Caenorhabditis elegans: one gene and its partners. The protein of the gene in region 3 purifies or fractionates together with the protein of the main gene of each other region. This does not show direct contact. Each region holds a gene or a part of one and is shown on either strand. Other genes may lie near its edges.

The links.
Region 1: the proteins of got-2.2 (region 3) and qdpr-1 fractionate together in Caenorhabditis elegans (co-fractionation; one large-scale study listed by BioGRID). This does not show direct contact.
Region 2: the proteins of got-2.2 (region 3) and B0250.5 fractionate together in Caenorhabditis elegans (co-fractionation; one large-scale study listed by BioGRID). This does not show direct contact.
Region 4: the proteins of got-2.2 (region 3) and ndk-1 fractionate together in Caenorhabditis elegans (co-fractionation; one large-scale study listed by BioGRID). This does not show direct contact.

The regions. Positions count from the first base shown.
Region 1 is NC_003281.10:13,388,609-13,395,647, reverse strand, and holds qdpr-1 (Dihydropteridine reductase), read right to left. Parts: upstream 1,739-7,039; 5' UTR 1,730-1,738; coding exon 1,646-1,729; intron 1,588-1,645; coding exon 1,484-1,587; intron 1,427-1,483; coding exon 1,303-1,426; intron 1,251-1,302; coding exon 982-1,250; intron 928-981; coding exon 798-927; 3' UTR 669-797; downstream 1-668. Other genes in the region: dnj-17 (DnaJ homolog subfamily C member 21), read left to right, coding at 2,313-2,624, 2,669-2,962, 3,017-3,147, 3,195-3,365, 4,118-4,425, 4,482-4,723; T03F6.3 (Glucosamine-6-phosphate deaminase), read right to left, coding at 4,935-5,237, 5,622-5,816, 5,883-5,965, 6,019-6,241.
Region 2 is NC_003283.11:20,490,530-20,500,163, reverse strand, and holds B0250.5 (putative 3-hydroxyisobutyrate dehydrogenase, mitochondrial), read right to left. Parts: upstream 6,241-9,634; 5' UTR 6,234-6,240; coding exon 6,111-6,233; intron 6,059-6,110; coding exon 5,934-6,058; intron 5,828-5,933; coding exon 5,697-5,827; intron 5,024-5,696; coding exon 4,819-5,023; intron 3,854-4,818; coding exon 3,736-3,853; intron 3,191-3,735; coding exon 2,993-3,190; 3' UTR 2,819-2,992; downstream 1-2,818. Other genes in the region: dct-14 (DAF-16/FOXO Controlled, germline Tumor affecting), read left to right, coding at 1-111; dct-16 (DAF-16/FOXO Controlled, germline Tumor affecting), read left to right, coding at 1,156-1,168, 1,922-2,181; srbc-79 (Serpentine Receptor, class BC (Class B-like)), read left to right, coding at 7,679-8,311, 9,175-9,393.
Region 3 is NC_003284.9:6,239,260-6,247,098, reverse strand, and holds got-2.2 (Aspartate aminotransferase), read right to left. Parts: upstream 6,117-7,839; 5' UTR 6,096-6,116; coding exon 5,840-6,095; intron 5,790-5,839; coding exon 5,241-5,789; intron 5,023-5,240; coding exon 4,583-5,022; 3' UTR 4,390-4,582; downstream 1-4,389.
Region 4 is NC_003279.8:10,550,484-10,557,299, forward strand, and holds ndk-1 (Nucleoside diphosphate kinase), read right to left. Parts: upstream 3,431-6,816; 5' UTR 3,312-3,430; coding exon 3,259-3,311; intron 3,178-3,258; coding exon 3,084-3,177; intron 3,026-3,083; coding exon 2,711-3,025; 3' UTR 2,636-2,710; downstream 1-2,635. Other genes in the region: F25H2.4 (MPN domain-containing protein), read left to right, coding at 1,496-1,618, 1,925-2,223, 2,274-2,442; cert-1 (Ceramide transfer protein), read left to right, coding at 4,154-4,167, 4,242-4,407, 4,458-4,577, 4,946-5,260, 5,307-5,495, 5,878-6,033, 6,239-6,336, 6,385-6,787.

The DNA of each region.
Region 1 (7,039 bases), on a different chromosome or scaffold from region 3:
CGGGAGTGAACAAATTATTTTTGAAACAAAAATCGAGAAAAAAAGAACAGAAAAAAGTGTGAAGATTTATTCTCTGCAAACAGATAGAGGAGAATTGGAAGAGAGAAAATGATATGGGAGTGACTAATAAACTGCGGGTTTCTCTGTTTTCTTGTCATATCAATATGGTGAGAATTGACGAATTAAACTAAAGATTTGGGACAAGAATTATGTAATAATACGCTGAAAAAGAAAACGAAAAAAAAAAACAATTTTTCGGTAATTTAAAGGAGCATGAACAATATGTTGTAGATTTTTAATTAAAATCGTTTCAGGACCCATCGCAAAAGTGGTGTGCCCCTTCCAAGGTATATTTTCCATTCTCTGAATTCATAATATTTTGGTAAAGTTATTTTCAACGTAATTTGTATAAAATCTTTTGCGAGTTTCTAGCAAATTTTTACTTTTGCCCCGAAAATACGGTACTCGGTCTCAACACGACAAACTTTGATTAACTTCGAAAAGGGATGCGCCTTTAGGGAGTACTGTAATTTTGTAACATTTTGTTGCCGTAGAATTTTCTATAAATTTAAAGAAAATAGGGAACTAAAAAAAAACCATAAGAAATTGTCGCGTCGAGACCGGTACCGTATTTTCAGCAGAAAAATTGCAATATTTCGCATCTAGATAATAAAACATTTTTACTTAAAAACATCACAAGCTTTATGGACAAATGATTTAGAAATTGATAGCATACTACATGGAAAAATAACAGATAATAAGCGGAATGTAAAAAAGGCTGAAAAATGTCGGTAAAATTATTGTGGAGTGATAGTCGATGTTCCATTTTCAGTGGTTATTTTGAGGAGAGCCCCGGAAGATGGACGGCTCGATGTTTCTGTGGTCCATTTGAGAAGATGTTCAGAGATGAATGAGAGTGGAGTCCAGCTGAAAAAAAAACATAGAAAACTATGCAAAAGAAAAAGAGTAATTTAATTTTACCTTGAATGATCAGCATTTGGCATCCATTTTCTGTTCATTGGGGTGTCCAAAGTGACTGGCATAATTGTCAAAACGGCCGAATTGTCAGGCAATCCCGAATCTTTGGCAGCCAATGAAGATGTCAGATGATGAACTGCAGCTTTTGCCATACCATATCCAATCATTGATGGAGTTGGTCCCATAGCAGCAGCAGCTCCTGTAAGCTGAAGAAGACCTCCCGGCTTGAGGTGAGTGGTGGCCAATTTGGCTGCAATTGCTGAACTCCAGACCTGAAAATTCACGGTAGAATAATACCAGATGTTTAGGATTAATATATGTTACCGATTGTTTGATCATTAAATCAGCATTTTTCACAAAATCTTTTGAAGAAGCGGAGCCTCCAGCCCATCCACCGGCAACACAGAAAACTCCATCAACCTGACTTCCCTGGAGAGATGAAGCAGTTCTGCAAATATTTTATGAGGTTACGGTAGCTTTTTTTTAAATTAAAAATACAACTTACTGCTCGAGAATGGATTGTTCTTGTTCTGTCCAATTTTTATTTCCGTCCACCAAAATATTACTGTCAGCTTGGTCATTGGCACTCAAGTCGATGTTTAGAACAGTCTGAAAATTAATGAAAATTAATTTACAACATCCTAATTCAATTTCTTTTAAAACTTACATAACCATTTTTCTTGAAGAATTCAAGAATAGCAGATCCAAGTGCGCCTTTGCCTCCGTATACGATAACTTTTCCACTGGACATTGTTCGAAACTGCAAGGAAAAAGTAAAGAATGACAATATGGAGGTTGAAGGACAAATTGGCCGCGTGGACGACGTCAAGGACGATTTTAATGTGATACTGGTATCAACGAGTGATCAGAGACACAGATTTTTAATGTTAAATGAGGGAAAACTTGATGGAATTCAGGAAAATAAAGATGAAACAACATTTTGGAAATCGGTTTCCGAGCTTGAACTCGAAACGAACTTTTGTTATCGAGAGTTTTATCAGTTATATTTTTGCAAGAAATTTGGCAGACATATCAATCGATAGCTCTTATTTAGCTCAACAACATTTAATATGAATCACAACAGGAAAATGTGAATTAGCTTCTCAGAATTCGTCAAAACATCGTGGGAAAAAATATAGGAAATTATTTTTTTACAATTGCGCTCTAATGTAGATGGCGAGACATCGTGTGGAAAGGAGAGACGATAGATAACTTTTTCTTTTCATTTAATTCTTTTTCTTGTTTCTATTATTATTTAAATGGTTTCGCATGAACTATTCATTTCAATTTATAAAATAAAATCATATTTAGAGTAAATTTTAAATATTTCAGCTATGAAATGCCATTACGAAGTGCTCGAAGTTGAACGCGACGCTGATGACGATAAAATCAAAAAGAACTACAGAAAACTAGCGCTCAAATGGCATCCCGACAAAAATCCGGATCGCATCGAAGAGTGTACTCAGCAATTTAGGCTTCTTCAAGCTGCGTACGACGTTTTGAGTGATCCACGAGAACGCGAATTTTACGATAGACATAGAGAAAGTATTCTGAAGGGAAAAAATACGGATTTCGAGGAACAATCCACGGATTTGTTCCCCTATTTCACCGCTTCTTGCTATCAAGGATATGAAAACGATAAAAATGTGAGAATGAAATCTAAAAAGTAAATCAAAATTATAAATTACAGGGCTTCTTCACTGTCTACCGGAAAGTCTTCAATATCCTAGTTTCTGAGGAATATGATGCGTACAACGATTCAACAATAGTCTATCCAGAGTTTGGCGACAAGGATACCGATTTGGAGCAAACTGTGAATGGTTTCTACGGTTTTTGGAGCTCTTTTTCGACAACTCGCTCTTTTGCCTGGCTGGATCATTATGATATCACACAGGCTTCAAATCGATTCGAATCACGGCAAATCGATCAGGAAAATAAGAAGTTTAGGGATGTCGGAAAGCAGGAAAGGAACGAGCAAATTAGGGTATGATTGTCCGGAATATTTAATTTTAAATTTAAATTTAACAAAATTTTTCAGAATCTGGTCGCTTTTGTTCGAAAACGTGATCCACGTGTCAAAGCATATAGGGAAATTTTGGAGCAAAAAAAATTGGAAGCACATAAGAAACAAGCTGATAATCGAAAAAAGCAGATCGCCAAAAATCAAGAGTAAGTTCCGAAATTGTGAAAAATAAGGAAAAAATTGAATTTTTCAGGCTAGCCAACTCATATCTGAACGACAAAGAAGCCGAGGCAGCCCGTCTTGCTCATTTGATTGAAGTTAGTCTACAAATGGCCGAGGATTACGATACTTGTAGTGATGAATGTGATGAAGAAGGAGAAGAACTTCCATATTGTGTTGTTTGTAGCAAATCGTTCAAAACTGTGTAAGCAGAATATTATAAAGACGCAGAAAAATGCCATTTTTGAAATGGAGATGCAAGTACGCTTCACGGAAAAATTAAATCGCTCCGCCTCCAAAGTTGGGTCTTGTTAGGCATTGGCTGCAAAACCTTAATTTCAAACGATTTTTGTTTAAAAAAAAGCTTAAAAAATGCACAATAATCGAAACATTGAGAATTGAAAAACGAAAATTATAGATTTATCGGAACTCCTTTAAAAAATTTTTTTTTGATCTTTTAAAATCGAAAAATCTAAATAAAACGTTTAAAAAATGAAAAAAAAGAAGAAAAATTGAAAAATTTGAGGTCATTTTTCTAAAAATCAAATTTTTTGAAATATTGAAAAAATTTTTAAAAAAACATCGAGAATTTTTTTTTCGAATTGGAATGAACCAAAACTAAAAAAAAATCGATATGTAATTTTCCGATATAAAAAAAAAGAAAAAAGACTAATTTTTCTTATCAAAATATACAAAACTTTATAAAAAAGTTGAAATTGTGTGTCAATTTTCTGAAAAATAATTTTTTTGATTTTTTGATTATTTTAGAAAAAAATGAAAATCCTTGAAGAAAAGTGAGAGACAAAAAATACGAAAAAATATTGAAAACGTTTAAAATTATGGATTTACCGCCACTACCTAACGAGACCCAACTTTTGTCCGTGGAGCGCGCTTGCACCTCAATTTCAAAAGTCTGATTATATTCATCTCTATAATATTCTTCAAACTTAATTTCAGAAACGCCAAGTTGAATCATGAGAACTCGAAGCAACACATCCGTCAGCTGAATGAGCTGAAAAAGCATATGAAAGAAGAAGATTCCACGATTTTCACCGAAGCAGAACCGAAACCCGACGAAACACCGAAAGGAAAGAAGAATAAGAGAAAGGATAGGAAAAAGGGGAATGGAATATTTGATGTGGAAGAAACAGAAGCAGTAGAAGCCGAGATTCAGGAAGCGCCGCCCGTGGAAAATGAGCAGCCGGAGGAAGAGGAAAAGGAATGTACCCCGGAAGTTGTTAAGAAAGAGAAAAAGAAGAGAAGAGGTACATTTTGTAGAATTGCAAAATCTTTAAAACAAAAACAAAAATTTTGTTTTCAGCTGATAAAAATCAAAACCCATCGGCGACAGTAGAGGAAGAAGCACCGAAGTCAACTGAACCAAAATCTGCAATTTGTGATAAATGCCGTGAGGTATTCGATAGCCGGACCAGGTTATTTGCTCATTTACAAGAAACCGGACACGCCACGTTGCTCATCAACAAACCAGGAGAAAAAGGACAGAAGAAGGCGAAAAATAAGAAGGGACAACGTGGAAATAAGGGGGATGATGAGGATTGGTGAAACATTTTTTTTTTGGTATTTATTCTTGTTCTAATTGTTTTGTTTGTGAAAGTTTAATAAATATTTTTCAAAATTCAATTTTATTGAAATGTTTCGGGAAGAATAATGGGCAAATAATGAGTACCAAAATGTTCAATATTTAGTATTCAAAGTTACAGTGAAAGTTACAGTGAAAATTAGTGGAAGGGTACATGAAAAAAAGTAATACAGATTAAAACATGACAAGTGAACGATGATGATTCATTAATCCTTTGAAATATTTGACCGTCTTCACTTTCAACTCCAACGTGGCATCTTCGTCGGCAATAAACGTTGCACATCGATGCATCTGCATCGCAGAGACCGTACACATGTGAGAGATTCCGCATTCGATTGCCTGATGAAGAGCCAGCGCTTTGTGTGATCCTGTGATGAGAATCATCACTTCACGAGCATCCATTACAGTCTGGACGCCGACTGTCAGAGCTTGTGTTGGCACTTTTGTGATGTCTCCACCGAAGAAACGAGCGTTAGCCTGGAATTATTATTTTACTCCTGATTCCAAATATCTATGTGCACACGCGGTTCTGGCTCATTTTGACTCGGCCAAGGCCGGGGTTTAGTTGCAACGCTAAATGTATTTGTCCGTGTGGAGTACACGACTTTCCAGCAGGCAATTGTCAATGTAGCGCGAAAAATTCAATTATTTTAAGACGACTTTCAAACGCGCGTCAGAAACATTCTCATTGGAGCGCGCTGTGACATGTCAATTTACGAGATGATTGACGTTTTCCAACAAATTTCGTTCAATTTCGTCGGATTATTGTTGTCAATGGAACATTTTTTCCGACAAAACTGAAGAAAAATCGTAAATCGACACAACACGGCGCGCTCCATTGAGAATTTTTCTGGCGCGCACCTGAATTGTATCCTCGTTGAGGGTCTTGATACGTGTACGGCTTGCCAGCGAACTTCCGGGCTCATTGAACGCAATATGGCCATCTGGACCAATTCCACCGACAAATAAATCGATTCCGCCAGATTCTTTGATTTTACGCTCGTACTCTTCACACTCCTTCTCGTGATCAGACGTATTTCCGTCGAGAATGTGAATCTGAAATTATTGACTTTGGAACCACATTTGGCGAAAAAAAAAAAACAACAAAATCAAAAAAATTACATTAGCTGGATTAATGTCAATGTGTCGGAAAAAGTTGTCAAACATGAAGGAGTGATACGATTCTGTATGGTCACGTGGAAGATCTGGAAATATTTATTAATTTCAACTAATTAAAGAAATATCAAATTTTTCTCACCGACATACTCGTCCATATTAAAAGTTTTCACTTTTTCAAAGGAGATAACTCCGGCATTGTAGAATTCGATGAGTTTCTTGTACATTCCGAGTGGAGTTGAGCCGGTTGGCAGTCCTAAGACGAGATATTTTCCATTTTCAGTCGCTTCATTGATCTTTGTAACGACATATCGAGCAGCGAATTCGGCGACTTTATCGGCGTTCTCCTCGATAATCAATTTCATTCTGGGCTGAAATCAAATTAGAAAATTAGGAAAAAAAAAGAAATTTCTAGAAATCAGAAAACTTTGAATAATTTCAATAAAAATGAAGAAATTTGACCGTCTGGTTTACTGTAAGTTTTAAAGGCGCACACAGAAAAATAATTCTTGCGTCTTGGAGGGAAAACACTTGTTCATTAATTATTTTTTTCAAAATAATATTTTTTTTTTAATTTCAAAGAATTCCAAAAGAGCGCCATGTAGGAAAAATGGTAAAGTTAAAATAGTGAAATCGAATCAAATTTAAATACTGAAAATGACAGCCTCGTTCTTGATAAATATGTTTCGAAATTTCGAAAGTGAGACAAAACTGACAATTTTCGCGGCATTTAACCTATTTTTGGCGCCGGAAAAACTGCTGAACCGGAACTGTAGAAAAGTCAAAATGTTCACTTTGACATCAACTTTCGAAATTCTATTCATTGCAAATCGAAAAAAATTCTTAAACTCCAGAAATCGTTCCAAAAATCGTAATAAACGAAAACTGGCCAGAATGTGCAGTTTTAAAGAGCAGTCAATGCTTATCTTATCGAACAATTTGTTGATAATTGACCGAATTTTCGCAAACAACAATATCTTATCGAAAGTGGGGGAAACATGAGACCTAATAAAATGTTTATATTTATGTATTTCAATGAATCTGAGTGAGGAATCAAAATCAAACTATTACCCGGATGCGAAGTTTGCAAAATTGAACACGAAAGTACGGTTCCCGGTCTCGACACGACAAAATTTTGCTCACTATAATAAGGTGCGCGCCGT
Region 2 (9,634 bases), on a different chromosome or scaffold from region 3:
AAGGAGCCAAAACCAGAAAAGCCTCGGAACCCGGAAGAGCTCAAGAAACAGAATGAGTTGAACAAGATCGATTTGTGGATCGCCGACGAAGATCCGGCACGTCGCAAGTGACTATTGTCTACTTGTAAACAATAATCCTAACAATCCTATTTTTAACTCCAAACTTTTCGCGATTTCAATTTTCAAAAAACATTCCAGACAACCTCTAAACCTACATGATCATCCTAGTACTTCTTGGCCCAAGCGCTATGTCCAAAAAGTCAGGTCTACCCTATGTACTGCCGTGTAGTCAAACAAGCTTCACCATCATGCCATTCACCTTCTTCCCATCATTTCTCCTGCCCTCTTATCTCTAAAAATTGTGATTTCTGATTATTTCAATAAATAATAAATATGTTTTGCGTTGAAATTCTGGTCATTGAGATTTTTTAGGTGGTCTGTAATCATGGGCTCTTAAAACTTTGATACACCTGAGCTTAGGCCAAAGCTAATCCTTAAAAAAAAGCTAAGCCTAAACGCTAAACCGAAGCTATTGGGATTATTCATGTGATGCCAAAAAATGCACAAATGATTTTTATACAGTTTTACCCTATCCCTAAAAACGAAGGCATTTTTTTTAATTTTTCAACATTTTTCGACATTTATCTACATCGGCCGACAGCCCGCTTCACATGAAAAATGTAGAAAAATGTAGAAAAATGCAAAAAAAGCATGTGTTTTTTTTACATTTTTCTACACACATGAATAGATAGGGGAAAAATGTAAAAAATACATTTTTGCATTTATCGTCATCTCATGAATAACCCTATAAAGCCTAAGCCTGGGCCATAGTTTTTCTGGAAAATATCAGACATTAATCTCTATTTGCCACATGGATTCCAGCAAGTTTCCACGTTAAAATCTTCGCGAGCCGTCATATCACTAAAATTCCTTATCTACATAGTGTTCTTGACACATCATTAAATTAGTTGCTCGCGGAGCAACAACTGCAAAAACGGTCTTCGTTCGGAACACGTAAGCATGCAAACACGCGCTGGAAGAGCAAAGTGCATGCGGTCACAAACATTTTTTCTCGGTATAAAATGCCAAGCGGGGTGCCACATTTCGGCATAGGCATCAATTTTCACTGCTGCTGCTGCTGAATCAACACTAAAAATGGCCGAGAAACGTGAGTTTTTGGATGTATGCTTATTTTTTCAAGAATTCATGTTTTTTGTTCAATTTGAAAAAAATTTAACAATAAGACCGAAAATGGCGAAAAATTGAAATTTTCAATTTTTGTTGATTTTTCGGCAGAAAAAAGTATGTAATTCTTTAGCAAGTTATTGTTTTGATTTTTTACATGTAATTGTACAATAACCTCATATTCCAGATATTATAGGATACAACACCAAAAAATGATTTAATTTTTTACATTTTTAGATGTCAGGCTGTCCCATTTTGGTGAGATCTACAAAAAAAGCGGGAATTTAGACGCAGACTTCTCAACTGATTTTACATGGTTAAGAACATGCTGACACGTCACATATTTTTGGAAAAAAATTCCCGCATTTTCTGTAGATCAAACAGTAATGGGCAGTCTGACACCACACGCTTCCAATAAAAAAAGTTTATTAAAAATATCGGAAACTACCCGAACATACAACCAACTTGAAAAGTACAGCACACACGTGGTGTCAGGCTGTCCCATTACGGTTTGATCTACAAAAAATGCGGGATTTTTTAACCCAAACAAATGTGACGTCAGCACGTTCTTAACCATGCAAAATCAGTTAAGAAGTCTGCATCTCAATTCCCGCCATTTTCGAAGATCTAAGTAGATCAAACCACGCAAATTACCTAATAAAAATCCAAAAATTGAAAATTTTCGGATTTTTTGTAGGTCTCCTAATACCCTACTAATATGTAAAAAAAATTTCAGTCGCAAAAGCCAAGGAGGAGATGACAGCCGCCGGTCTCTCGCCAGAATCCATCGAGGGAATTCTCAAAATCGCCGCCACTTACAAGAAGAAGGACGATGAGCCAGAACGTGATGCTGCCACTTCTTTGGCAATTATCACAAAAATGATCGGAGAGACCAATGAGTATATTAAGGGACAATCGGAAGCCGATCAGAAGATCTACGCTGTCATTATTGAGAAGAAGAAGGCCGAGCTTATCGAGGCCGCCAAGAAGCAATAGATTTTCTTTTTGTTTTGAAATTTTATTCTATTATGAGCTTGTAATAAAATAATTTTTGTAATTTTAAACTTGTAATGGTCACATACTTTTGGGAAAAAAATTCCCGCATTTTCTGTAGATCAAACAGTAATGACACCACGTATTTCTAATGAAAAAGTTCCTTTAAAATTTCGGAAACTGCCCGAACCTACTTGACCTACTTGAAAAGTAATGTACATACATGGTGGCTGTCCCATTACGGTTTGATCTACAAAAAATGCGGGATTTTTTTGCCCAAAAAGTGCACGCTTTTATCCATGCGAAGTCAATTGAGAAATCTGCATCTCAATTCCCGCATTTTTCGAAGATCGAAGTAGATCGAACCACGCAAATTTAATTCAATTATGAGCTTGTAATAAATAATTTTTTTGTAATTTTGAACTTGTAATGGTCTTTCCAAGTGATTTTTCATGGAAAATATATTCTTGTAAATTTTTTAAAAATCTCTATTTTTTCTTATAAAATCAGCTTTTTTTTCGATAAATTTTTGTGACAAAAATTGATTTTTTAAGATTAATTTTTCGATTAAAACCCTGAAAATTTTAAATTTTTTTTCGAATTTTTTCGATTCGATTTTTTCCCAGACAGTTTTTCGAATTTAAACAAAAAATTCATAAATTTCTATTTTTTTCTACATAAAAAACACAATTTGGCACATAGAAAAAAGGCGGAAAAATCACATAAAATATGCTTAAAAATTGGAAAAATCCTGAAAATACGGGGCTTCAAATCACATAAAATATGCTTTAAAAATTTCAGAAAAAACCGAAAATTATGAGTTTTGTTTCTTCAAAAACTGATAGACGACACCGAAATCCTTTGCCTGGTACTGTGGATCACGAGCCAGAATACGGTAGATTTGATGAGCCAGTGAGCCCATTGGAGTTGGTGCTTGAGTATTTGTTGAAGCATTTTGAGCCAATGAAAGGTCTTTTGCCATTAGAGTCGTTCCGAAGCCGCCAGCATAACCCTGAAATTGGAAATTTTAGGTTGATCGGCGGAATTTAGGAGACTTTCATTGAAATTTTTGAATGAAATTTCTGGCAAATCGGCGAATTGGCACATTGCCGGAATTGAAAATTTCCGGCACACCGGCAAACCGGCAATTTGCCGAAAATGAAAATTTCCGGCAAATCGGCGAAACGGCAAGTTGCCGGAATTAAAAATTTCCGGCAAATCGGCAAACCGGCAAGTTGCCGAAATTGAAAATTTCCGGCAAATCGGCAAATTGAAGGAATTGAACGTTTCCGGCAACTCGACAAACCGGCAAGATGCCGATTTGCAAAAATGTTCCAGATATTCGATTTTTTTTTTGAAAATTTCAACTTTTTTGAATTATTTTTAAATCAAAATTCCTATTAAAATCATCAAAAAATTGGAAAGTTATAAATTTAAGCTAAAAATTCAAAAAATGGCGAAATTTAATTTTTTAAATGAATTTTTTGAGGACAGAATCAAATTTTGAGATTTTTTTTTTGCATTTTTACGGATTTTCAGTCAATTTTCCATCCATACCCTGCACGAAGGGATGTTTTCAATGACTCCGGGTACTGGATTGTACGTGTCCGACGACCAACACCTTCCTGACGATGTATTCACGATTCCGGCAAGCGCTTTCGCGTCGAGACCCATTCTGTAAAAAAAATTTTGTTGAATTTTTTAGAAAAATATATTTAATTTCAATTTTTTGCGCTGGTCGTTTTACTTTGCTGATGTGGGAAAAAAAATGTTTTTCAAAATTATTTTTGACGAAACTGTTTTTTTAGAATTTTGGTGGGCGGCATTGTTTCGTCAACAAATTGGGCAAATTGGCAAATTGCCGGTTTGCCGGAAATTTTCAATTCCGGCCATTTGCGGGTTTGCCGGAAATTTTTAGAGGGAATTTTTTTCTGAAATTTTCAAAAAATAAACTGATCAAAACTAAAATTTGCCGAAAATTTTGCAAATTCGGCAATTTGCCGGTTTGCCGATTTACCGGAAAATTCAATTCCGGCAATTTGGCGATTTGCCGATTTGCCGGAAAATTCAATTCCGACAATTAGCCGATTTGCCGGAAATTTTCAATTCCGGCAATTTTCCGATATGCCGGAAATATTCAATTCCGGCAATTTGGCGATTTGCCGGAAAATTCAATTCCGGCAATGTGCCGATTTGCCGGAAATTGTTAATTCTGGCAATTTGCCGATTTGCCGGAAATTTTCAATTCCGGCAATTTGGCGATTTGCCCATTTGCCGGAAAAAAAAGTAATGAAAAATATTAATTTTAATCAGAAAACTTGAAAAATTGCCTGGAAACGTTTTTTTTTTCAATTTTTGAAATGGTTTGAACTTTCGGCAAAAAATTGAATTTTCAGCAATTTTTGCTTCAATTTTTTTTGCATTTTCCAAAATCGTTCACCATTTCCGTATTTTCGGCGTTTTTCGAATTTTTATAATTTTCAGAAGTTTTCTGGACAATACTAAATTTATAAAGTATCTTGCCATTTAAAAAATATCAAAATTATCAAATTTCGAAAAAAAAACATATTTTCAAGAGAAATTTCAGATTTTCAGCTATTTCTACTCAATTTTTTCTAAATTTTCAGATTTTCCACATACGAGATGCCTAAATTCATAGTCTCCGCGACAGCGACCATCTGGATTCCCAAAAGCATATTATTGCAGATTTTGGCGGCTGTTCCGTTGCCGACGGCTCCCAAATTCACGATATTTTTGCCCATAAGGCTTAAAACCGCTTCGGCACGCTTGAAAGTTGCATCGTTTCCGGCTCCAACCATAAATGTTAGTGTAGCTTGCTGGGCGCCTGGAAAATTATGAAAATTGAGTTTTTTAGTGAAATTTTGGAATTTTTAGTGAAAATTTGAGATTTTCAGAGGAATTATGAGATTTTTAGTGAAAATTTGAACTTTTTAGTGAAAATTTGAGATTTATAGCGGAAATTTGAGATTTTTTGTGAAAATTTTAGATTTTTAGTGAAAATTTGAATTTTTCAGTGAAATTTTGAGATTTTCAGTGAAAACTTGAATTTTTCTGTGAAAATTTGAAGTTTTTAGTGAAAATTGGAAGTTTTTAGTGAAATTTTGAGATTTATAGTGAAATTTTGAGATTTTTAGTGAAAATCTGAGATTTTCAGTGAAAATTTGAGATTTTCAGTGGAAATTTCAGATTTTTAGTGAAAATTTGAATTTTTCAGTGAAAATTTGAAGTTTTTAGTGAAAAGTTTGAGATTTTAAGCTAAAATTTCGACAGTTTTAGGGAAAAATGTGATTTTTTGAGCTAAAACTCAAGTTTTCTGAAATTTTTTACTGAGATTTCGATTTTTGTTTTTCAAAAAAAAAAAATTTCGGCCAAATTTTTGAGTTTTTAGGCTAAAATTCAAGTTTTCAACTGAATTTTCACGAAAATCACGTTAAAAACATTATTATTTTTCGAATTTCAACTGGTTTTCGCAATTTTCCGTCTCCGAATTCCCGTACCAGTGACTCCACCGGAGATTGGGGCGTCGATATACTCGGCTTTGAGCAAAGCGGCGGCCTGAGCAACTTCCAGTGACACAATTTGATCGATTGTGGAGGAATCCATGCACAGTGTTCCAGGCTGGATGGTTCTGGAATTTAAAAACTAGAAAATTTTAAAAATTAAAAAAATTTTTTTTTTTTGAGAAAAAATTTTATTTTTTATTTTTTTCCCAAAATTTTCAGGATTTTTCGTACTTAAAAATTCCAGCTTCGCCTTGATAGACGGCTTTCACGTGTGGAGAGCTCGGAAGCACTGTGATGATTTCTTTCGAAGCGGCGGCGATATCAGCAGGGTGAGCGGCGACTTCACAGCCTTCTGCCTGAAAAAATCGATTTTTAAACGAGTTTTCTCAAATTTATTGTTAATCTTACCTTAAACTCCTGCACTACTGCCTTATTAACATCGTAGACGATGAGTTTCTTCCCGTTTTTGATCAAATTCCGGGCCATATGGCCGCCCATGTTGCCGAGACCGATGAACCCGGTGAGAGACATGATTTTGCTGAAATTAGTTGAGTTTTAGAGAGAAAATATTGCGAAAAATGATCTTTAAGTGAAAAAACTGAGTAAGAATCAAGAAATTCGCATGAAAATTAATAAAAGCGAATAAAAACTAAAGTAAAATAAATGTGCGTTTGTCCACAAGTTCTACACGTGGACAACAGTGTTTGCGGACTTCGTTACGACAAATTGCGGAAAATTATGAAAAAAGCGATTTTCAGGCGGAAAATCTAAATTTCAAAGAAAATAAATTAGAAAATCGAGTTTTTCACAAAATTTCTCGTAAAATGACATATTGAACTTTACAAACAGTGCATAATACAAGGAAATCTGAAAATAAGTTAGAAAAAATCTCGAAATCGAGCAGAAAAACGGGCGGTATCGGTCAAATTTCAATTTTTTCAATTTTTAAAAAGGCACGTGGAACTTCATAAAAGAAGAAAAAACACAAGAAAAAACGGCGAAATTGACAGATAGGAGAGAAGAGTGCAGATTGCACCAGTGGCAGTGTGGTTGTGTGATCTAAGATGTTTGGGTTTTTGATTTCAAGAGTTTCAAACTGAATTAATTGATAATAATTGGCATTACAATTGGAAAAAAAAGAAAATCTATTGAAAAATTGCCAAATGCAATTTAAAAATTGCCATTTTCGTCTTGGATTAGCTGAAAAATATTTATCCTGAAGTTTCAGAGTATTTCCGGTGAATTTTTCAGATTTTTCGCGTAAAATATTCTCTAAATCCTGTGTTTTAGGGTTTTTGTGTGCATTGTCGTAAAATTTGTAACGCTAACCTCAGCCTACAGTAACCAAAAGCGAGAGTTTCTGTGCATTTTTTCGTGAAATCTGGTGCCTCGTACGTGGACACCGAGCTACCGTAACTGAAAACACCAGACTTTACGACAATTTGCACGTATTTTGAAATGTAAGAGTTGGCCGAACTAGGCCATTTTGACTCAACCACGGCTGGGGTAGATTTACGGCGCGTTGCGTCTCGGTTTTAATTGCAAAACTAAATATATTTGTCCGAGTGGAGTACACGACTTTCCCATGTCTCCGGCAGGCGATTGTCAATGGAGCGCGAAAAATGTAATGAGAAAGGCCAGAATTTCGTGTTCACGTTTTGCCAGGCTGTCCCATTACGGGTTGATCTACAAAAAAGGCGGGAATTTTTTTTTCAAGAAAAATGGTGACCTCAGCACGTTCTTAACCATGCGAAATCAGTTGAGAAGTCTGCGTCGCTTATCCCGCATTTTTTGTAGATCTACGTAGATCAAGCTGAAATGAGAAATAACACTATGACACCACGTGCGTGTTGTCATTGACAGCGATCAGAAGTACGTATTTCCGGAGAAATTTCCGCCTGACAATACCAGACGGGTTCAATTAGAATACCCATATATTCTGACTATTTTCTTTCACTTGATTAGTTTCTCCAAGAATGCTCCTCATCGCCGTTTTAACTACTCTCATATCGATTTTATTCGCCATTACCATCTGCTACCTCAACTTTCTTCTTTTGATCTCAATATTCTGGCGCAAAAGAATCCCTGTAAATTTGCATATGATGCTGACTTACTGCAGATTCGGTGTGGACTTGGTTTATACTATAGTTCTGTTGATTCTCAAAATATATTATATGCTTACAAGGATTTCTAATGACTTTATCATCAAAAACTTATACTTTTTACTTGTATTTCCAGCTGCATCAATTGGGAATATAAGATCAGTACTAACATTTTTAATAGCCCTCGAAAGAGTTATTGCCATATATTTTCCAATTTTCTTCCACATTTATCGACAAAAACTTCCGAATTTTGTATTTTTACTCATAATCCTATCCAGTGAACTTTTCAATCAGTACATGCTTTTTGGATATTGTGGAAATGTTCTTGAAACACCACTAGAGTGTGTAAATTACTTTTGTGCTGTTAACAGTTGTTACTACCGCTACTGGTTTTCACATCAACAAATAGTTTGCTTTTTGAATGGAGCTTTCTCGGTCGTTTTATTTCTTCGGCTTACTTTTTGGAGTTATTTCTCGGGAACTGAAACGAATAAGGATATTTCGAGAGTGAGTTTTATGTACAGTGCAGGGGTCGCCGGAAAACGATTTTTTCTGGCAAATCGGCGAATTGCCGGAATTGAAATTTCCGGCAAATCGGCAAATTGCCGGAATTTAAAATTACTGTAAGTTGGTAATTTGCCGGAATTGAGAAATTCCTTCCGGAAAACCAGCAAATTGCCGAAATTGAAAATTACAGGCAATTCGGCAAATTGCTGGAACTGGAAATTTCCTGAAAATCGGCAAATTGCCGGAATTTAAAGTTACTACAAGTTGGTAATTTGCCGAAATTGAAAATTACCGGCAAATCGACAAATTGCCGGAATTGAAAATATCCGCAATTCGGTAAAATGGCACTTTGCCGGAATTGAAAATTTTCGGAAAACCGGCGAATCGGAAATTTGCCGGAATTGAAAATTACCGGCAGATCAGCAAACCGGCAAATTGCCGAAAGCGAAATTTCCGGCAAATCGGCAAATTGCCGGAATTGAAATTTCCGGCAAATCGGCAATTTGCCGGAATTGAAAATTTCCGGCAAATCGACAAATTGCCGGAATTGAAAATTTCCGGGAAATTGGCAACTTTCCGATTTGGCGAGCGGCAACTACATCAAAATATCAAATTTTCGGAATTTAAAAATCTCGATTTTTTTTGAATTTCTGAAAGTTTTATGGTTTTTTCTCCGAATTGTTATAAGCTATCAAAATTGTTTAATTTTTTTCAAATTTTTTGAAGTTTTCAAATTTTTGAATTTTTTTTTGACAATTTTTTTGAAATTTTAGTGGTTCATTAAAAACTTTTTCGTCATTTTTACAGCTAGATATATTCGTACATTACCATTATTATTTTTTACAATTATAAAACTGTTTCAGGCCACCCGCATAGCTCTTCTCGACTTTTTCATAATGCTATTCTTCAATATCATTCCTTTGTACATCTCTAGTCATATTACTGGTGTTAATTTGGAGATATTGGGATTGTTTATTGTTCTTATCAAGACATTTGGATTTTTGGTTGAAGGATTGATAACCTATCGATTTTTATTTAATTTGAAAATTGACTCTGTCAATGAGGCTACAGTAGTCTCGTAACCTTTTACTCTTTTTGTTGAACTTTGTAGCTCTACTTGGAATTGCTGTATTTTCTTCTATTAGTATAGAAAAGCGCCTCAGTAATTTTATGATTTTAACAAAATTGTTTGCCTATTTTGCAACGATTGTTGACAAATTGTTTTTATGAGATTGAAGTTGTTGAACTTTTTTTTTGCAATTATAATCAGATTTTCTATATTTCCAAATAAAATTGGAATTCTTTCAGTTAAAAACTATTGAG
Region 3 (7,839 bases):
CGACATGTCTTAGAAAAGGATTTACGACTTCGTCGGAAGAAGTTGTCAGGGAGATTTGAAAATGTTCTTAAAAGGGAAATGTGAATTTGAAACAAAATAGACAGTCAGGAAAAAATAAAATTAACCTTCCGGTACGGGTTTGTGGAAACCTGCCACCGGGCAGAAAAAAACGTTATAACACTTAGTATACATTTTTGAAAAGGTATATAGGTTCAGTGAAGAAAAGTAATCATGATTCATAATTCTAGACGTGGAAACAATTGTGTAAACGTTTTTCTTTGAAAATTTTGAACTTTGTACATTTTGATTTTCTGAATATATGTGTGGTTTATTTACTATTACAACCTGTTTTTGTACTTTTTACTACGTTTTTAAAACGCAAACATTTTTTTCGTTTAACATTTCAACAATACTCTATTTAAGTCATATGATACTTTTGGCATTCTTCTTTTCTTTCCCAAAATCTTTCTTTCCTACACATTCGAAACCTCGATAAAATCATTTAAGAACAACACCAAAACTCGCGCAGGTCTTAATTTATTCGTCGGTAGCCGTTTTGTTTTTCTTAAAATGGGCATTTTTATGACATCTGAAAGACACGACAGCGTTAACGTCGCTATAAAAATTCATTTCCTCTTACTTTGTCTGAACTGAGTTAAAAAACATGAACTCATCGAGCTCAATAAAACCGAAAAGTGCAAAACAAAATAGACAGTGGTTCCGCGTTTTGAAAACAACTTATTTTGCTCAAAAAGTAATTTTAGTGATGTATGACTTGGCTTTTTAATATATAGAACCAAATAGCGGAAGTTTTTTATTTACTTAAATTGTATTTAAACACAATAAAAAAATCAAACAAGCAATAGATCTTCAGAGACAATAACCCGGAATGACAAAATAGAATTCATGTTATGTTACTTCTTTTATTTCCATTTCCCACATCTCATTTATGCTGGGTGTCTTCTCATTTCCGGAATGGAATCAAGATAGAGACAGTGTCAGGCATTTACCTATTCAAAAGAAAGAAGATCATATATAGAAGAGACGTTTTTCCGCAAGTATTCAATTTCAAAAAGGTCGTGAAGCTTTGGGATGGAGTCTGAAATGTTTTCGTTCTAAATGTAGTTTCCAGAAAAACATATTTTGAGAATAATAAAGTTCATTTGGTTTTTTTGTTCGAAAAGAAAACACAAAACACTGCATCAGACAGAAAGTCAACCAACTAATAACATGTTTAAATAAATTTTCGAACATGAATTCTCAGAATGTAAGTATACATTTTTATTATCAACAGATTTCAATCATTATCTGAATAGAAAAACATATAATCAACCGATGAGAAACTTGGCGACCACTCCCACGCAATGACTCACTCAATAAGTGTTGACTTTTCAGGCTGGCTCACGTGTTTTAATGAGAAAAACCTTTGTGGGTTGCAGCAAAGAACAGGTGAATATTTTCGGAAATGAGGGATTATTAAAAAACTTAAACAAACTTAATTTATTCCTTCTTGAATAAAATAATTTGAAGTCGGATTGAAATGAAAAAGGGATTAGAAAGCTTTACATTCCATATGAAAATTTTATTTTTTATGTCTTTTTTTCATTTTTAATGAGATATTTGAAACTAAATGTAACAAAGGTTGGTTATCATTGGTGGAAAAATGAATACAAACGACATAAAAAGACAATGTAAATGTATCTAGCCCAAAATGTATGCAATATTTTATTAAGTTTTATGAGCGGAATATGAGTATTTTACGGTCATAAAAGTAGATGAAAATGATTCTGAAATAACTCTCCAACTTATGCTATAATTAATTAAGGAATAAAATGTATTGTATCAATTTGCTACTTTGATAGCTAAAATTGACACAATATGCTTCTGTTCGAAAGTTTTTGGAAGATTCAGCAATACGAAGTCTGTAAAAACATTTCAAATTAATTTTAAACTACTTTGTTAATTTACAAATTTTCCCACATCGTTATTCGGGATGATGTACCAATTGAAAAATTGAGTACTTGAAACCTTCGACTAAATTTTGTAGTAATCTTTATAGATATTTTGATTTCAATTTTTTGTATGATCTATACATTTTCCATACTCTATTATTTTTTTAACAGTTTTCCAGTTGAGACTTAAGTCTTTCTAAGTTCTTTCAAAATGGGAAAACTAGTTGAGCATCTTTGGTAACGCCGAACTATTGCTATTTTTTTAAAAGTTATTAGTTCAGATACATAATTTCGAAACACCATGATTCATTTCCAGTGCTGTACAAATTGAAAATGCGTCAGAACTGTGTACAAAAATAGGGACTCATACAGAAAAATGTATCTATAATTTGAATCATATCTATTCCGGGCTTGCAATGGATCTCCGATGTACTATACAATTCAGAAATTATGAGATCTATTTTCGGAAAGTGTTGATTTCATAATTTGTACAGCAGCCTGTTGATTATTATTTTGCCGGTTTTTCGTTTTTGCTTCATAAACCGACAATGGAAAAACCGAGCCACAATGTGTGCACACAGCTCCAAACGATTGATGTGTGTGTCGTCAAAAAACATGAGTCAATGAGCCGAGCAGTAAATAAGTGAAGCTGCTCAAATAACTGTACATCACTTTCGTAATCCTGAATTCAATTGAATTGATGATTTACGCTTGGATATTTGGTACACGTCAGATAACAAATTTTGCAGAAAAAAAAACTCCCATTGTTCTATGAGACAATATGGGGGATTTTGAATTTCAAACGGGACTGCAGTTTCTGTAAAGAAAAAGAAAACAAAGGAGCAGCAATTCGCATCAAAAACAAACAAACTGACCAACGGTGAAAAATACTCTCGATTTACAAAAATAGGGGATCGGTTGAAGAACGTTTTAAATTGAAGTATAGTTATTCAAATCTGGTAGATCACCCATGCTCACCCATGAATTATTTATGAAAAATCATTAGTTCGGTTATTATTATGCTCATTATTGTAAAACTGCATAAACGACCAAAGTTGATGCTTCCAAAAAAATACAAGTGAATGTTCAGGTAATTGTGAGCACAGTTTGCACGAGTGATTTGTAAATTATCAACACGTTTTCTTTAATATCGTCATCGGAAACAAGATAGTATTATAAAAATCATTCATGGTAATTTTTATTTTCACACGGCAGGCTGGGTGTTGTTCAACTGAATATGTCTAAACATGGCAATGAACTTGTTTTCGTCAAGTTGTGTCTTCAAGCTTATCTCTCAAATATAAATCCCCAATACCGCCTGAGATGTTCATAGTCTTAGAACATCAAACTCAGGTTTTAATGTATATGCCTCAAGCTTCAGGCTGCAGTCTAAAGTTTTACAGTCTTGATAGACCAGCGTAATTTTTGCCCATTCGGAAATGTTTCACCGAAGCCTTTTTGGGACTTTTGAATGCAGCAAGAACTGGAGGAATCAAATAGAATCAAACAGATTTTCTTGTTACTGAGGGAACCTGTTTTCTCAAATTATGCTTTTTGTTTTTTTTTTTTTTAATTTAATTATGCAGCCCAAGCTGCTTGGCGTCATCGGTAGAGGCCCGCCATTGGATGGTTGTCGGCTTGATTCGGCGGCCGATATAGATGCGCTCATTAACAACTTCGAGTTGAGATATAATGGAGGATCCATTAACGTAGGAAGTACTGGACTCTGAAAATTCATTGCGCGAGGCTTGCCCATTTTCTCAGCTTATCCCACTTATCGTCTTGAAATCTACTGGAACCAATTTCGTATATATTATTTGAGCAGTTGACTGGAAGTAAGTTGTTGATTTGCGACGAGCTAAATACCATCTGAAAATTCACGGCTAGTTTGAGTTCTGTCCAGGTATGATTTTGTAATCTTTGGTTTCAGTTTTTATAAGGCATTTTGAAAACAAGCTGAAATAATTTTTGAAAAAAAAATAGATTTTCTAACCAATTTATTTTGACCCATGACCGTGACTTGAATTTGCAGAATTAAATACCAGAACTCTACGCCCATGTTTCAGAAAACCACACCGATGCGTTTATCTGAAGTCGAAAAGTTTCTGAAAATTTTGTTAAATAATTATGTATTTAACTCTCTAATGTATTTAACATAATTTGATTTTATAAAAATACTTTGTCTTTTTCCTCGAAAATCTTATGGTTTCAGAGAACTCAAAATATGTGCGTGTTATACCATTCATTGTAAGCACACTTCCAACTAAATAAATTTAAATTTGAAAGTGATATTAATTTTTTTTAATTTTTCGTTTTCAGAAAACTGACAATTATATTTCTTTCAAAACAGTTAGAAACACAACGTTTCAGAATCGAATAATTGAATTAACGTAATTGCTAAACAAATATCGTGCATATCATTTTTCAATAACCAACTCCAGTAAAGATTAAGGTCGAAACCCAATTTATTAAAAGTTCCCATTCTCAGAAAAAAAACAGGCTACAAATAAAAATGAGATAAAGCATACTGCCATTCTACAACCGGAGAATAAGAAAACCGAAAACGAGAAAATTATTCTATTATGACAGATAGAATAAGTTAAAATGGGAAGAGTGCATTTGTCACTGATTTACTTGGTGACTTGGTGGAGAGCGTGGGCAAGGTAAGCGACATTGTTCGATGAAATTCCCGCCACCGAGATACGTCCGTCCTTGGTGAGGTAGACAGAGTGTTCCTTGATAAGCTTCTCAACTTGTTGTGGGTTGATTCCAGTAAAGCAGAACATTCCAATTTGGTTGGTAATGTGCTCCCAATTACGAGTAGATCCCTCCTTGGCGAGCAAATCCTTGAGCGTAGTTCTCATGGTGATGATACGATCAGCCATGAGCTTGACATCTCCGAGCCATTGCTTGTTGAGAGCTGGATCCGCGAGGATGCGGGAAGCAATGCGAGCTCCATGGACTGGTGGGTTGGAGTAGAGTGGGCGAATAAGGATCTTGACTTGAGAAGCAACACGAGCAGCCTCATCAGCGTCCGAGGTAACAACGGAGAAAGCACCGACTCGTTCACCTTAAACAGAATAAATTATAAAAATTATGCAGTATTCAGGGTTAGGGCTACAAAAGGGTAGAAAAGATAGGATAATGCGACACCAGTGATATCCGCGTTATCATGGCCTAACTTCCAACACCAAGAAGAAACTGCGCTCTATTGCACAAAAACAATACATTTCGTATTGAACTCCAGCTTGTAAAATTCAAATTTAACAAATTAGTATGTAAACTCACCATAAAGTCCCATGTTCTTGGCAAAGGATTGAGAGAGAACAATGTTGTGTCCTTGCTCGACAAAGTAACGAACAGCGAACGCGTCATTGTCAACATCTCCGGAAGCGAAACCTTGGTAAGCCATATCGAAGAAGACAAACAAGTTGCGTTTCTTCACAATGTCGGAGATCTTCTTCCACTGGTCACGGGATGGATCAACTCCAGTTGGGTTGTGAGCACAAGCGTGAAGCAAGATTGTGGATCCTTCCGGGATTTGAGCAATGTCAGCGAGTGCTCCAGTTTCATCAAAACCACAGGTGGACTTGTCATAATAGCGGTATTGCTTGACATCGACTCCGGCAAATTTGAAGATTGGAACATGGTTTCCCCAAGTTGGTGTTGGCTGGTAGATAACCTTGGTCTTGGCGTACTTAGAAAGGAACTCAGATCCGATTCTAAGGGCTCCAGTTCCAGAAATGCTCTGAGTGGTGAAGATTCTCTTGTTCTTGATCACATCAGAGTTCTCTCCAAGAGCGAGTTGAGCAGAGAGCTTGGTGAACTCGGGAAGTCCTGCAAACAAATAAAGAGTTCAAATGGATCAATAAGTTTATAACACTCACCAACAATTCCGGCGTACTCCTTATCAAGATTGGCAGCGATCACTTGACGTTCAGCTTCCTTGACCGATGGGAGAACAAATGGCTTTCCTTGATCGTCACGGTAAGCTCCGACTCCAAGGTTGATCTTCTTTGGGTTTGAATCGGCTTTGAAGGCCTCGGTGACTCCAAGAATCGCATCTGGTGGTCCCATCTCAACATGCGACCACCACGACTTTCCTCGCACGGCGGTAGAGAAAAGCTTCTTGGAAACGCTCATTGTTGATTGGAGAAAGATTACCTGAATATTCAATATTAATGTTTCGAGTGGGAACTTAAAAGACGTTTTGAAAGTAGGCGTGGAAATCACGTTCCGATTAGAATGAAGCAACGAAACATTGATAGCAGGGAAGACTAGAGTACGTACAACGCATGATTCCTTATCCGAAGAAACAAAAATAAAATAAAACGTGGGTATCATTATCTTTACCAGGACAATTATTTGAGTGTTCAATGGTGTTTGAATGGGCTGATTGGACACTTTTTTTAAATTCAAAAAAGATACCCTAGGACACTCCATTCAGGGTACTAACCACATTTCTAGCCTTTAGCAACGGCGTGGCATCAAACTAGGCTAAAATTGTAGTTAAACTTATTGACTCTATCAAAAACAACTGATGTGAAACAACAAAATGGACCGACTGCACCGCCTATGAAAGAATGGACGCGTCTGCTCATCTTATCCCAGTCCACGAACTGGCAAGGAAGACGACAAGTGAGAAGAACTGGAGAAACTAGGTTAGAGAGTACGGAGATTCGAGAGAGTGTAGGGTGGCAGAGGAAAACTCGGGCGGCCGCGGCAACGTGAGAAACATGCGGTTCGACGATTCAGTCGTTTTTGTGTAACTCGGCGCTCGAGAACTGGTAAACAGTAAGTAAACTGCGTTCGAAAAAAAATATAAGAAAATCGCCGTACTTCGGTCGTGAAATTATTTGTTTAAATAATATAATTTTTTAAACTTTTCTATTAGCAGCACCGTGTTCGCAAAAAAAAATCTCAAAGAATTTTTGATGAACGGAAAAAAAGCGACTAATGACTGTAAAAAGGCAAGGAAAAACTGAGGCCAACAAGATAAATGAAAAAAAATTTGGTTGTTGTTGTGGTTCGTCACTCTCAAAGGTTCGATATTGTCCGCGCGCGGCCGGAGAACACAGGTTGGTAGGTCAAAAGTGCTGGTGGCACACGGATATTGGAAGTCTTAAAATTCAAGATGGTGTCTTACTTCAAAAATTGAATTTGGGATAGCAAAAAAAAATAAATTTAAAGTACAGAAAAAATATAAAACATAGAAAAAAGTTAATGAAAAATGGTTTTTATATTAACGTTTGGACGTTTGGAAAACCGCTCAAAATTGTGTGAAGAATTTCGGATATATTCTGGAAAGGAATCCACCAAAGTGTTGGAGTTTTTTCCCGTCATTTTCAAAGATTAGGACAATTTTTGAGTTTTTTTTTCGATTGTTCCAAATAAAAGGAAAATGATTTTCAGATAAAGCAACCAGTTTTCTATAATCTTTAACTAAGGTATAATTTTTATTTTTTGTTGAATTGCTTGTCGGAAATTATAGCGCATCCACGGTCGATAAAATAAAATGTAAATTGTAAGATGGTTTAAAAAATTTTTCTAACATCTGGAAACAAAAACGTTTACAACTGAACTGCCTGTGAGTATAGTGTTATCATTTTGGATTACCTCTTGTGAGCAAACTTCAATACATTCAATTCTGATAAACAAAACCTAGCACACGTCACACTAACCTGTAGTGTTCAGATAGAGTTTTTTGAAAATTACTTTTAGATTGTCGCCCGAATTTTGTGTAATTCACTTTGTGTTACAAATTTACAAATTGTTCAACATTTGTGTGACTTTCACGTGGACATCCGTAAACATTTTGAGTCCTTTGTTTCTCTCAATTTTTCTCTCGATTTGAGTGCAAAATGATTTTTGCGATAAATATGAAAGA
Region 4 (6,816 bases), on a different chromosome or scaffold from region 3:
GTGTTATATTTTCTTTTCCTTAATAAGGAACCATCAGATTCTTCCTACCCTCTGCAGCTCTAGATACCTCAACTTCGACAACTCCTATCTACTCGGAGAGGTGAGATACCAAAAAGTGATCAACTGAGACCTTGTAGAGCACATCAAAAACTATGATATTCAATTTAACCTACGTTTTTATCTTTCAAGATGGGGGAGTTAGACGTACATTTGTATTGCATACTTTTTGTTATTATACTGGCTGCTCTAACTCCCTCATCTTAAGAGATAAACACATGATTTTAATTAATTAGTATAGTTTTTGATATGTTCTGCAATTTCTTAGTTAATCACTTTTTGATATCTTGCCTCTCTGAGGAGATAGGAGTTGTCGAAGTTACAGTATTTATAGCTATGCGCATATGAAGAATCATATGGATTCTCATCATGCTATACTACTTATCATCTGCTTTTTGTGGGAAACAATGATTCAAAAATGTTTTTTCAAATGATCAAACAAGTTGTGATTTGATCTGAACATTTAGTGTTGGTTTAGTGAAGATCAGCTGCCAACTAAACAGTTTCCGTTGATTTGTGCATTTTTGAACAATTTCAAGACTTGAAACCGTGTTATTTCTATCAAGCTGACGTTTAAAAATTGGAATCAAACATATTAATGCTTGAAAAAATTTGTTTCGCGTAGAAATTTTGTCATAGAGTTAACTTGTTCTAGTCGGTTCGAAAATCAATGAAAAAGCAGCCAAATCTTGAATTTGTTCAATAAAATGTTTTTTAAAACTTTTTTAAAGCAATAATAATCCCAATATTTAATTATTTTTTCCAAATTTCATCTTGAAAACTCGAATAATCGCGAAATTTCGTCTGAAACTCATTTAATACCGTAAAAGTGTGCAAGCGCGCTCCGTTGGACTTTCCAATTCTCAATTTTCTTAACTCTCCCGATTTGAGGCGCTGTGCTCCACCAATCTTAACGAATTTTCAATCGAATTATTGAGCTCAAGAGCTCTCATCAGGAACTTCATAGATTTTATGTAATTTTTGATTTTCTGTTCCCTAATTTTATGATTATTATCCGAATTAAACTTTAAAAACATCAAAATCATTTGAAATTTCTTGTTTCCCTCCTTTTTTTTATTTGATAAATTTTCTGCGCAAGTGCGCTCCATTGAGAATACAAATGCTCTCTTTGGAATTAACGATTTTTAGTTTATATTTGTTGAGTGTTCGAGATTCTTTTATTGTTTTAATGGTTTGATTCCAGTTTAAAATGTTTCTTAATTTTATTTATTCCTAAAACAATCTATTCATGTAATATAACTCAATTTTAAAGACGATTTTCGAGAGAGAACAACGTTATAACTGTTTTTCTTAATTTATTTTCATTAAACCGCTGTATTCAACTTCTTTTATTGTTCAATACAATCCTGAATACCTAAAATTTGTTAGATGATTTCAAATAATAAACAAAATTCGCTAAAATTCAAGTAATTTGCAGATGAAGCATCAAGTCGAAACACAGGCTCTCCCCTACTCGACAATCATCCTTCACTGCCTGAAATACCCGGCAAAGGGTGTTTTTGGACTGCTGATTGGAAACAAGAAAGGAGACAAAGTCACGGTACAATTTTATTTGTTTAATTCATTAAATGCGAACATTTTAAATTAGTTGATCGTCATGTCGGTACGCTTATTTTCTCCAAAGACAGTCGTCTTTAATACCAATTATCGATATATTAGAATTGCTAAGCTGAAAGCAAGAAAAAATAATTACGCTCTCCACCTCAAAATGATGAACAGTTGCTGAAGAGAGCATAAAAAATACTTTTCTACGTTTTGAGAAGAGTTATGCGATACTAGATTTCTGAGTCAGGGAAATGTTTTAATTTAATGAATTTGCCATCCTATCTGATAATTTATTTTCCAGGTAACAAGTTGTGTTCCTCTTTGCCATGAATCCACTCCACTCGCACCTCCTCTGGAACTTGCCACAGCCCTCGTCCATGGAAAGTTTGGTGCCTCCCTCGTCGGCGTCTATTTCTCAAATGCAACTCCATCGGACACTTCTCTCAACGTTTATGCCACTCGACTCGCCGACAGAATATCTTCTGTTACCTCTTCGGCAGCGATTCTCGTACAAGTGATGAACGAAAGACTGGTGTCAGATTGTGAACAAGACCGCCTCGTGGCATATGAAAAAGATGGAGATAGTTGGAAAGAAACGAAGTAGGAAAAAACATTTGATGTTATATATTCATTTAGTATATTCATTTCAGAACGATTTTCCAAGGTTCCAACTTCTTGCGTGGCCTTCAAGCTGTTATTCAGAAGAAGTTGTACCGAGAGCTTTCCGATTTCGAAAACCATTTGGACAATCCCGAGTTCGACTTCTATAACACAAATCTGAGCAACAAACTCGTGCAAGTGGCGGAATTCAGAGCTTAAAAGCTGAAATTATTATCCTAATTCGTGTTTTCATAACTTATTGCAGTCATCTGAATATATTATATGTTTAATCCCCTTCCGTTTTCGGGTTGAATAAAAGATTTGATGACAGCTGAGTCGTGTAGGATTGGTTGCCATGAAAACGCATTAGAGAATGCGCAGGAATAGATGTCAACAAAAACGATGTTTTAGGTGGGAAGCAATACTTTATCAACATTCAGCAGAGATACGAAAACGGTGAAAACACCGGGAGACATAAGCAATCAGTTTATTCGTAGACCCATGAGTTGATGAATGGGCTGGCGTAGTCGTTGATCTCCTCCTGCTTGAACCAGTGAGCAATCTCGCGGTTGGCAGAGTCAACGGCATCGGATCCGTGGCAGATATTGCGTCCGGTTTGGATGCAGAAGTCTCCGCGGATGGTTCCTGGGGCGGAAGCGAGTGGGTTGGTAGCTCCGAGCATGGAACGTCCTTGCTTGACGACGTCAAGTCCTTGCCAGACCATGGCGACGACTGGTCCAGAGCTCATGTACTCGATGAGGGATGGGAAGAATGGTTTGTCCTTGAGGTCTTGGTAGTGAACCTAAAAATAATAATTTAACTGGTTGGGCCTAAAATTTTGTAATTTCGTGAAAACGTACCTCAAGATGGGCCTTGGAGGCGGTCATCTGCTTGAGAGCAACAAGCTTGTATCCGCGCTCTTCAAAACGAGCGATGATCTTTCCGACGAGACCACTGAAATTTAAAAAATTAGGATTTTGAAAATCCTAAAATCCATTGAGGATGCTAGAATAAGTTTCTTCAAAGATAACTAACCGGTGGACTCCATCAGGCTTGATGGCGATGAAGGTTCTCTCAGTGTTGCTCATTTTCGGACAATCCAACTTGGAACAGGTGTCAACAGCACAGGCGACAGCGACGAACGCAAGTGAAAAGAATAACCCGCCGGCGCCCATTCAATCAACTCCGACACAAATGAAACGAGTGTAACCGTACTTCAGCACGTGGCGAGACCCGACCTCGCAGCATTCTTGGCTTTGTGCCAGAATTGCAATGGAGCGCCTTTACTGACCACTGTTTTCGACCAATTTTTTTGGACACCAATTGAACCTTTTGCGAGAATTATGTTCTGTCAAACTGGTTTTCTTCATATGAAATTTCATCGGGATTATTGAACAAAAATCGGAATTTAACGTCACCTGTAACGTCAAAACACATTGAGAAGTGAATCGCTGCATTTGATATCTGAAAAAACGCGTGTGACATAAATAGTTTATTACACTTTGTCTCAAGTTCTATGACTTATGTCTGCTTTTCGTGTCTCCATGCAACAAGCACAAACGCTCTGCATATTCCCATTAAACTATTGTGCCTCGTTACGCGTCGAACTTTATTTCATGCTTGATGACCTGGCTCCGCAAATTTCTTTTTTCGTTTCAGACACTACTTCACAAAACTATTTGCAGTACAAGGAAACCGGTTCTCCCATATTCGCCACCTTCGACGCCCTATGTTTAGAATCGACTAAATGTAAGGTTGTCTATACTCTTTCTTTTCTGCCATCGACTACCATTTAACTGTTTGCCTACCAAACCGTGAGCTTTGTTTGCAGAACAAAGTGAGAGCAAAACTGTATCGAAACGGGGAAAGTCTCTCGGAAAGAGAGCCTCTGTCTTATCATTTATCACCTGCTGATTCGCGAACGAAGCCGATGGAGAGCGAAGTGTGAGTTTTGTAGATATTTTAAATTACAGAAATTGTTTCAATGATAAATTCTAATATAATTTATCTCATTCCAGTGTCCTTCCCACGAATGGGGTGATGAAAAAATGGACAAACTACGTGAATGGATGGCAAGATCGATACTTTGAAATCACAGAGGGAAATCTTGTTTATTATCTGTCAAAAGCCGAAAAATCCCACGGATGCAGAGGAAGCATATTTCTCAAAAGTGCAATAATAGCTGTGAGCTTTTATTGATTTCTCAGAAAGTTCTTGTATATTTAAAAATTTAGGCCCACGAATTTGATGAAAACGAATTCTCAATATCTATGGGCGAAAACGTTGTCTGGTATTTGAAAGCAGAGAATTCACAGTCAAAACTTCTATGGATGCGATCAGTTGTCCGGGAAACAGTGAGTGTTTTCTGAATCTGAATTTGGTATTTTTAAAACATAATTTTTTCAAAAAATTACTTCCCCAGCGATTCTCTCGGAGTAATTACGAGATAAAAAGTTGTATATTCTTCGTTTAAATATGCTCCGATCATAGTTCAAACACCTCTCTTATGTTCCTTTTTACATCAAAAACACCATTGTTGATCTTTACCTGATTTTGTCATCCCGTGTAAATATATAGTACGGACGGTGGCACACAAAAGTCAATTGAAAGTTCGGGAATAGTACGAGGCTATAAAATATAAAAAATCGTTCACTTCGAAATTCTACTTTTAGAATCAGAGAAATCAAGTTAAAACTTCAATGGGAAAATCAATAATTTTCAGGTACAAAACGATTCGGATTATAGCTCGACTAGCACTAAAAGTCATTCCCGTAATCCATCGGTTTCCTCAGTTCTTGCTACTAATAATCAAAAATCTGATGATAATGAATCAACGAAGCTTTTTGCCACGAAACTCTCCGAACTCGAAGCATACCGAACTATGTGCAAGGATCAGATGACATCAATCGAAAGACTTCTGGAACAAGGTGGAGCCAGTTGTATTGTCCCACAAGCCACGATTCTATCAGTAAAAGCAACACATTTAGCATTGATTGTTAATATTAATCATATCGTGGATCTCGTCAAGACTTCTAAAGTAACAATTTGCTGATAGTTTGAGAATTAAATCAAATAATTTTCAGGTGGTAATACCAAACATTCCATCTTCTTCTTCATCCACTCCACCACCATTTCGGGAACCTTTATGTGCAACTAGAAGTGTTTCTTCTTCTGTTCTTCGTCGTGAATCTATTGTTGAACAAGAATACATGTCTGACGATAATTCAACAATGACAACTTCTACGATTATTGCAAGACCTGATATTGATGTGGTGAGTTTTTTGTTAATATGTAAATTTAATTTCGAGAAAAGAAAATCCAAAAAAGTTTTAAAATCCTAATTCTTATCTATAAGATTATGTTAAATCAATTTTTCAGTAAAAAAATAACTCTCAGATAAGTTTTAGAATGTTCTAAAAATGCTCTATACTTGCTTCAAAGTCATTTTGCTCCCCGATCAGTGTAACGAAAGCTTGGCACTGTTATTGAGCATTTTTCAGAACTTACTGCAAAATTTAAAGTTTAAAGAAATTATTTTCTAAATACATTTTTTATATCAATTTCGGATCAAAAATTTATGAATCTATCGCAAAAAATACGCCAGACAATTTCTAAAATTTACAATTCTTGCAAATTTGCATATTTCTCATTCAGACAAGTGATTGTGATGAGTTCTTTGACGCCGACGAGTTTGATGTGGACTCGAAAAATGGAGATACCGTTGAAAAAAGACAAGAAGAGGTGGAAGACAAGAAAAATGGAAATATAGTTGTTCCAGAGGAAGAGAAAAAGAAGACTAGCTTCAGAATTGTAAGCTCATATTACAAGGATGCAAAATTTTGCGATTTTTAGCGCCTTTTTTATTAAATGCGAGAAGTGTACGCGCCTTTTAATTTTAATATAAGTTTTAAATAAATACATCTATAAATAAAAAATTAATTAAAATAAAATTCGCAGAAACGAGAGTTTTTGCCAAACTTTCCATATTTCTCTACTAAAACATGTGCTATTGCAGGAAGGAAACCCAGTTACTGGTCACTATGACGACCTCCTCGTGAGCCAAGAACACTCTCTTTACACCACAATCGATAAGCTCGCTCTAGAACAGCTCAAGTAAGTTTATCGTTTTAAAAATCATTTTCAAATTCTCAATATTTCTAGATATGCTCTTGCCGGTGCTGAGGATAATGTATGGAGTCTGTTCGCTGAAGACGGTCCAATGAGAATGTATACAAGACAAATTGAAGATGAAGGAGGTGTTCCTGTTGATCCATTAAAGGCGATACATGCAGTTGATGGTGTCACTGCACTGGAATTCATGCATTATTTCTATGATGCACGGTATAAAATGCAATGGGACCATACGCTGGAAGCGATGAGCGTTGTTGAGCACATTTCACCGGATTCTGTGGTTCTACATCAGAAACATAAAACAGTTTGGCCTGCTGCACCGAGAGAATCATTATTCGTTTCACACATTCGACGAGTTGATGAGCACAAGAGGGATGGAGCACATGATTTGTATATTGTGTGCAATAGAGATATTCAAAGAGCCGATGTTCCGGTAGGTTTTTGAATTTAAAAAACATTAAA